Arabidopsis thaliana: one gene and its partner. The protein of the gene in region 1 binds, or shares a complex with, the protein of each later gene. Each region holds a gene or a part of one and is shown on either strand. Other genes may lie near its edges.

The links.
Region 2: SUF4 (region 1) and FRL1 share a complex: the UniProt entries of both Arabidopsis thaliana proteins name them as parts of the transcription activator complex.

Annotation. Positions count from the first base shown.
Region 1 is NC_003070.9:11,042,059-11,045,984, forward strand, and holds the start of SUF4 (zinc finger (C2H2 type) family protein), read right to left. Parts: upstream 1,716-3,926; 5' UTR 1,536-1,715; coding exon 1,342-1,535; coding exon of another isoform or gene 1,338-1,341; intron 891-1,337; coding exon 790-890; intron 555-789; coding exon 425-554; intron 1-424. Other genes in the region: AT1G30972 (Plant thionin family protein), read left to right, coding at 2,613-2,852. UniProt on the Arabidopsis thaliana protein: Sequence-specific DNA binding factor that recognizes the 5'-CCAAATTTTAAGTTT-3' sequence. Recruits the FRI-C complex to the FLC promoter. Required for FRI-mediated FLC activation, but has no effect on the expression of MAF1, MAF2, MAF3, MAF5, UFC and CO.
Region 2 is NC_003076.8:5,342,479-5,346,404, forward strand, and holds FRL1 (FRIGIDA like 1), read left to right. Parts: upstream 1-2,016; 5' UTR 2,017-2,028; coding exon 2,029-3,441; 3' UTR 3,442-3,628; downstream 3,629-3,926. Other genes in the region: UCH1 (Peptidase C12, ubiquitin carboxyl-terminal hydrolase 1), read right to left, coding at 101-877, 958-1,060, 1,150-1,243, 1,645-1,675; AT5G16330 (NC domain-containing protein-like protein), read right to left, coding at 3,685-3,926. UniProt on the Arabidopsis thaliana protein: Required for FRI-mediated up-regulation of FLC transcripts, but not redundant with FRI and only partially redundant with FRL2. Required for the stabilization of the FRI-C complex.

The DNA of each region.
Region 1 (3,926 bases):
ATTACAATATCTAAGATCATGAACTATTTCAAAAAACTGTTTACTACAGGTGTTATTGTGGTCTTGAAGAGGAGCAAAAGAATGGTTCTAGGACAAAGTTCTATCCTGAAAAATCACGAGAACAAGCTAGGGAAACTAAGAACCTTATGGGTCATAGTTGGTTAAGTGCAACAATATCTTAGATAACGATCTATTTCAAAAAATGTTTACTACGGGTGTTATAGTGGTCTTATAGAAGAACAAAAGTAGAAAAGTTCTAGGACAGAGACAAACTAAAGAAACCAAGAACCTTTTGCATCAAGAGAACTAAAAGAAAAAAAGTTCCCCATCATTTAGCATGGATCGGATTTTTAAAAACAGAGACAACATCTAAGAATTCAACAAGTAACGGCCATAGAGAGAGTATAGTATAATTAGTACATACATTGGTCGTGCAGGTACAGCACCAGGTACTTGTTGAGGCGGATATACCATTCCATATGGTCTAGGAACTACACCACCAAGAGGGGCAGAAGGAATCTCAACTTTTGCAACTTTGGCTGGAGGCTCATCCTCTGCAGAAAACATGACTTCAGTTCAAAAGGTACCATATGAAACAAGCAAACATAACAATAATATATAATAACTTTGATAAGGCAAAAAGCCGCATGCAAAATCAAAACGAATTCATGACCACTAGATGCAATAGATCTACAACACTTGATGAAGAGACATACAAATTTATCGCCTTACTTCTCTAAATCAATTGCTCATAATCTAAACAGTACTCTCACTATCTCAAATGCATACCTTCTTCTCCATAATGAGCAGTCAAGACATGGGGTGGAATTCCTTGCATTCCATATATTTCAATATCAGTTGAATCTCGACCGTCTTTAGCATTAGGAACTCTGGTGTGAAAATTGTAGATAATTTCAAAGTTAGTAGTGTCATGGAATCAAATTCCAAATTCAACAGGCAAACACATTGAACAGTACCACAAATTCCAAGAAAAACCTATCAAGCAAAAGCAAAAGCAAAAGACTGTTTCTTTACAAAAATTGCAATCAGAAATTAGGGTTTATGACCAGACATATACAAATTAACCAAACCCATTCAAGAGATAATCCAAAAAAACGATTCAAATTCCAGCAAACATACACAATCAACCGATTCAAACCACAACACAACAGTCACAATTAGCGCAATCTAACAGAAATCAAACGACAATCACACACAACAAGAGCAAAAAAAAAATCAGAACTTGAACAAAGATCATAGAGGCAACAACCCTAATATTCCAAATCAACCTAACACAACAAAAAGAGCCATAGGGAAAGGGTAAAAAGAAAAGGCACATACTTTGTAACATTCTCTTTATGAACCTGAAGAACATGAATCACCATGCCACTAGCTGTAGAAAGCTTCTTATGACAGACATGACACTTAAAGTGCTTAGCTTTCTGATGCTGCACAAGAATCTTCTCATCATCAAACTCTCTATCGCAGTAATAACACCACACCTTCTCTGTAGCTCTCTTCTTCTTCTTACCCATCACTAAATCTTTCTCCTATTTGTTGATTTCAAGATTTGATCTCAAAATTGAAATCTCCAATCTCTCAAAAGTCTCGTTCTTTGTCTCCTTCCTCCGCTCGCTAGGGTTTCTAATTGGTACAAAGCGTTTTCTCGATTTCTTCTACGATCTTCAGATTCTCTGTTTTTTATTTATTTTTACTTTATCTAATGGTTACTATCTTGTATTTATAAGAAAAGGTACTTTCTTGTGTAATATTTCGTAAAGAACCCATAACTCTTGTTTAATTATATATTTTTCCAAAATGCTTAGTAAGTTATATAATGATACTATTAGTATTGGTTATGTTATCCGTTAGGATGGTCAAGTGGTCTAAGAGCAACCTCATTAGACAACTTTTTATAGATGTTTTTAGTATAAATAAATAATAAAATTAAAGACATTTCACTTTTGTTGTGTTTAAAGTGTCTCTACAGAAACACAAATCTCAAACTAAAAACATTCATAATTTTTTTATTATTATTATTTATAGTTTTATATTTAAAGACATCTACATATAAGTGACCAATGTGGATGCTCTAAGGCCTTAGACTCAAGTTTTGGTCCTCGTAAGAGGGTGTGGGTTCAAACCCCACTTCTGACATAATTTTTTATTCTTTCAAGAGTTAATTTTCTTTGTCCAATGAAATCTCAAATTAACTTAATCTCAAATTAACTTAAAATAAACTGTGAGAAAACAGAAGAAGATTAACCAACAAAGTAAGTAATCTCTCTTACAAAGAAACTTTGACCAGAAAAAAGGAATCCATGTAACAGATAAGAAGAAGAGACTATAAGAGCTAAGAATTACATAACTATTAGAAAAGATTATAAATAGAGAAAAAAACAGAAGAAGATTAACCAAAAAAGTAACTAGTCTCTATTACAAAGAAACTTTGACCAGGAAAAAAAAAGAAGAGCAATTCCTATAACAAATAAGAAGAAGAGACGATAAGAGCTAAGAATTAGATAACTATTAGAAAAGATTATAAATAGAGGATAGCTATTCATTATTTCTTAAGTACATGAAACACTTGCAACAACAAAAAAGTTAAAGATATGGGTGCTAAATGGAATTCAATGATTATAATGGTGTTTGTGGTGACAATGGTTATAGCAATGGAAAATGTCAATGGAGAGACGAAAGCTCAATGCCATGAAGATTGCATTCTAGGTTGTGCCACCACAGGAAGAATTCCGATCACGTGCCTTCAGAATTGTTACCGTCGATGTCCCGGCAAACCTCGTCGTACATTAGGTAACCATTTTTCAGAAGGTAAAAACAAACAAACAATCTAACAATTTTGGAAATATGTCAAAGAAAATCTATTTTAATGATTATTGAGATTTTTACTAACTATATAAAATATATTCCCCTTTGTATAAATAAATTTGAAGTAAGTTTGACTAGTGTAATAATAATAATAGATTAACAATGGAATGTTCAAATGATTGAACGGTATGCTAATGTTTCGAAAATGTGGTGAAAAATAAAATAGCAACATAACGTTTTGAAATAGTAAAATTTTGAGATATATTTCGGTAATAAAGTGTTTTAAATCTTAGAAACATCATTGTCACTGTTTAGGTATACATATAGTCCTGAAAATATTATTTTTTAAATTAAACTCAAGAGATTATTTGGAAAAACTAAAGGTTAAAATAATCGATGGTTCTAATTTGTATAGTGGAAGCGCAGAAATAGAAGAGACGATGAGTCATGAATCAGTGTTGGACTCTTGGGACTTTTAAACTAGCTCTTCTTCTACTTTTGTATCCTCCTTATGTAATATGATCATTGTAAATTTGTAACGCTATTAAATAAAATAAAATAAAATTTGTCCCATGTTATAAATTTCTCTTGACTGTAAACACGTCTCTGTTTAACAGTTTAAGACTCCTCTTAGATTCGAATCTCATATTTCATAATTTTGGAAGTGACATGTAGCGGCTTATTGATTTTCTTGATTCATATTTTTTATTTTAGTTATTTCAAAGTGTGATACCTTGTGGATAAAGCAAAATCCATATGACCATATTTACATGAGACAAAAGTGAAACCATCTATGTTCAGCTTCAAGAGAAAAACACTTTGTTTCAATTTATACATTTAAAATAAAACTGCCACTACTACGTTTCTCCTATTGAAGCAAAATTGGCTCTCACTTGTTTTGCCGTTTCTCTGTGCTTAAATCCGAAGCTTTTACATTTTTCTACAACTTGTGCAATGTTTGTTTAATTGTACATTTTAGCTAATGGTTACTCTCTTGTGTTTATAAGAAAAGGTACTTTCTTGTGTAATATTTCGTAAAGAACCCAAAACTCTTGCTTAATTGTATATTTTTCCAAAATGTTTAGTAAGTTACATAATCA
Region 2 (3,926 bases), on another chromosome or scaffold:
CCATCAAGTTAAAGTTTGGCTACATATAACCACGCCACCACAGTATTCAGATCACTAAAACATCTGATTTCTATCAAGTTAACATCCCGGTAAAGCAGATTTAGGGATGGTGCTTAGCAATGAGAGGTTTCAGCTTCTTCTTGTCAGCAAGAATCTTGAGGAAGTTGAAGAGGAAAGGGACATAGTTGTGTTTCCTTCTCATGTTCTCTTTCTTCCAGTTCTTAGATTTCTCCTCCTCCATTACAATCTTTTGTGAAACAGTCTCTATCCCGATATTGACTTCCGAAAGCTCTCTATCAAGAGCCTCGTAACTGCTTTTCTCAGCGTATTTATCAGCTTGCAAAGCACCTAACTGCTGCAAAACCCTCTCTCGCTTTCTTTGATACTCTTTCAGTTCAGCTACATACATCTCTTTCCTGTTCTTAACTACAGCTAAGAGACTAAACCGAATCTCATTCTGCGAATACCGGTCAATCTGCTCTTGTACCACAGGTTGGACCATTCTGAGCCACTCGATTCCTTCTGGCTCACCCAGACACTGTCCAAGACTAATGGGTCCTTCTTTAAGACCATCGAGCTCATATAAGATACCATCAACAGGTAAGTAGCTGATGTAATGATACACATCATCATCTTCGTCTAGATTTTTCGCAGCAGCTAATTCTTCATCTTCCATGATGGAAGACGGGTCAGGCCTGGCAAATGTGTTGTGAGCTGCACGTATTGCCTCATTGTTGTTGATGGCTAAACCTTTCAGTTCAGGAGGAAATTCTTTGGCGAATTGTTTCAGTTCTGATAGTTCTGAGCCAATATCAATACTCGAAGAGTTCATGAGGACTGATAATATCGCTTGGGTCGCACAAGCATTGTTGATTATCTGCAAGAAACACATAGTTTATAAAAAAGGTAATGATTGGAAAATCCGTGAGTCACAAATCTAATGTGAGAGTAAAAGACCTGGCTTGCAAAGAAGAAATTCGGGTTTGGCTCTGTGATGACAACACGATTCTCCTTTTCTTCTGGACGCCACTTGTAAAGCAATATCAATCCATAGACAGGTCTGCAAATATCAGACAACTCAAGGTAAATTTGACTTTGTTTTTCTTCTGTTTCGAACAATAGAAGATGAAAGAGTAACAAGTAAACTACCTTATTTCATCCAGAGAGTTGAAGTCCAAGGAATACAATTCCTCAACCTGCACACCTTTCACTTGCATTTGTTGTATAATCTCAGTGAAAATACCTAAAAATATAGAATACAGAAAACCAAAAAATATGAAGAAATAACAAACAAGAAAGCGACATTGGTCTTACTCACATATATGGCACAATGGCTATCGAGAGACACTAATCCACTTAGTATAAGACAAACACCATTGTTGATATATAATTTCAAAAAGCATCAATACTTTTATTTTCCAATCCTCACACAGTAAGTATCACCTCTTGTAGATGCAGAGAAGACTATTTTCAACATTTGTTGGCTTCTAATTTGACAAAATCCAAACATAAATCAGATTCTACAGGAAGCCAAGACTATTTTCCAAACATTTTTAGTGCTCCACTATCAAAACCTCGTTACTGACATCATCTCTTTATATATCCAGAAAACAGGAACCCCAAATTGTTAAAGAGAATATATACCAGGATCAGATTCTACAGGAAGCCAAGACATGGTTCAACGATGACTCGCGCCGGTGAAAATGGGTCTGAATTTAGAATTTTCACTCTCAAATTCGCGCTTATCTATCTCCTCCCATCGATTTCATCGTCTTCACGCTAGCTGCAGACTCGAAAGAGAGACTATAGACTGGTGTGGTCTCGATTTTGTCTTAATAGAGGTCGCTCTAAACCGAGTAGAAACGAAATTGAATTCATCCAAACCATTTCAATTTCTATAAATCGAACCAAATCAAGTGAAAAACAATTCGGTTCTGGTTTTATTAAACTTACTCGAACCGAACCGAACCGATAACGTTCTTATATATCCTTGCCGGAGAGAGCCAAAGAAATCTTAGAGATCAAACAATGACGGCGAGTGAGACTATCGCCACCGCGATAAATCAGATTGATGAGAAGAAGGAAAAGCTAAAGAAAGCTTTCGACGATCTTCAAGCTCATCGCTCTCTCCTTTCACCGTCTTTCTCACTTTCCTGGTCTGAGATCGATTCTCACTTTTCCTCTCTCCAATCCTCCCTTGCTAGCCGTTTCCGCCTCCTCCACTCTACATCTCCTTTGGAACATGATTCGTATAGAATCGACGCTTCTGATGCAGGGAAATCGTCGTCTTCGGAGGAGGTATCGGAGCAACCCGTTGTTGAGCCGGAGTTGAGAGCCTTGTGTGAGAAGATTGACGGAATTGGTTTGATTAAGTATTTGATTAGGATATGGGATGATGAAACTCCTCTCAATCAGGAAGTTTCTGCAGCGATTCGTTACTCTCCGGATACGGCGTCCATGGTGCTTGACGCGATTGAAGGTTCGAACTACACACCGTCATCATCGGGAAGATCATTCGATGTAAGGAGAGTTTTCGTTTTGTTAATGGAAGTTTTGATTGAGATCAATGCGAATATCACTGTTGATACGAGAAATAGAGCTAAGAAACTGGCTTACCATTGGAAATCTAAGGTTGGTGTCAAGCCTTTCGAGGCGTTAGTGTTTCTGCATTTGGTCGCAGCTTTTGAATTAGGATCAGAATTTGACACAGAGGAGCTTTCTGATTACGTTTTCATGATCGCTAAGTATAAGCAAGCAACTTTGGTTTGTAACAAGATTGGTGTAGATAGGAAAAGAGTTGGGAAACTCATCAAGACTCTCTTGGATTCTGGTAAACCAATTTTAGCAGTCAAATTCATGTATGAGTGTGGGATGACTGATGAATTTGAGCCAATCCCTGTTTTGAAATCTTACATTAAGGACTGTAGAGAAGCTGCTCTTAGAGTTTGCGTGGAAGATAACTACTCTCTCAAGTCGCAGAACGAAGCCTCTGATAAAGAAGTCAGTGCCTTGAAACCATTGATCAAAATCATCAAAGATCAGAACCTTGAATCAGAGTTTACTCAGGAGAAAGTTGAGGAACGTGTAGAAGAGCTGGAGAAAAATAAGGCATTGAGGAAACGCAACACGACTAATCCTCCCAAGCAAGAGCCACAGCAAAAGGGGAAAAAGCGGACTAGAGACTGCAAAAATGGGTCACAAGTTCCAGTTCCGAGTCAGCAGCTACTTTCTAGACCAGAAGCTCTTCTTATGCCTGAGCATAGTCATCATGGCTTACAGTTGAACCCTTATGGTCTTATGACCTCAGCATTTTCTGGTGTTGTTGTGAACCCATTAACTGGGCTCTTTGGTTCAGGTGCAACTCCTCAATCTCTTTACTATGCTCAGCAAACTGGATATGTGTTGCCGCCTCAATACCACCCGCCTTATTATTCTCAGTAGCTAGCTGCATCTCGACAATAAGATCTTAATCTCCTCAATGTAAAATGTTATCTTTGTAGAATATTTGCCTTGATGGAAAGTAAAAAAATCATTCTAACTCTATGTCTGAGGAATCTCATTCTTTGTTTTTTTGGTTTATATAGAATAGTAGTGAATTTTTCTACAATATTGGATCATGTTTCCTACATTATAGATTCTTCGAAGAATTCGCCTACCCGCCCGTTGGCGTGTCTTCAAACCTCATCACCTTCTATTTCTAGAGGTACCAGTAGCATATGCGCGAGGAACGAGGCTCTCGACGGGCACCTTAATAGCATCCTTTCTCATACCAATATCTGCAAATAGCTGAATAGCTTTGCTGCCGAAAGGACTAAGTTGCGCAAGCCACGCAGCTGCACTCACTGAGCTGGCTTGACCGCCCCTTCCCAACACATAGTCTTTTCCGACCAGCAAGCTTGTTTTACAATATATTGCAAAATCTTCAC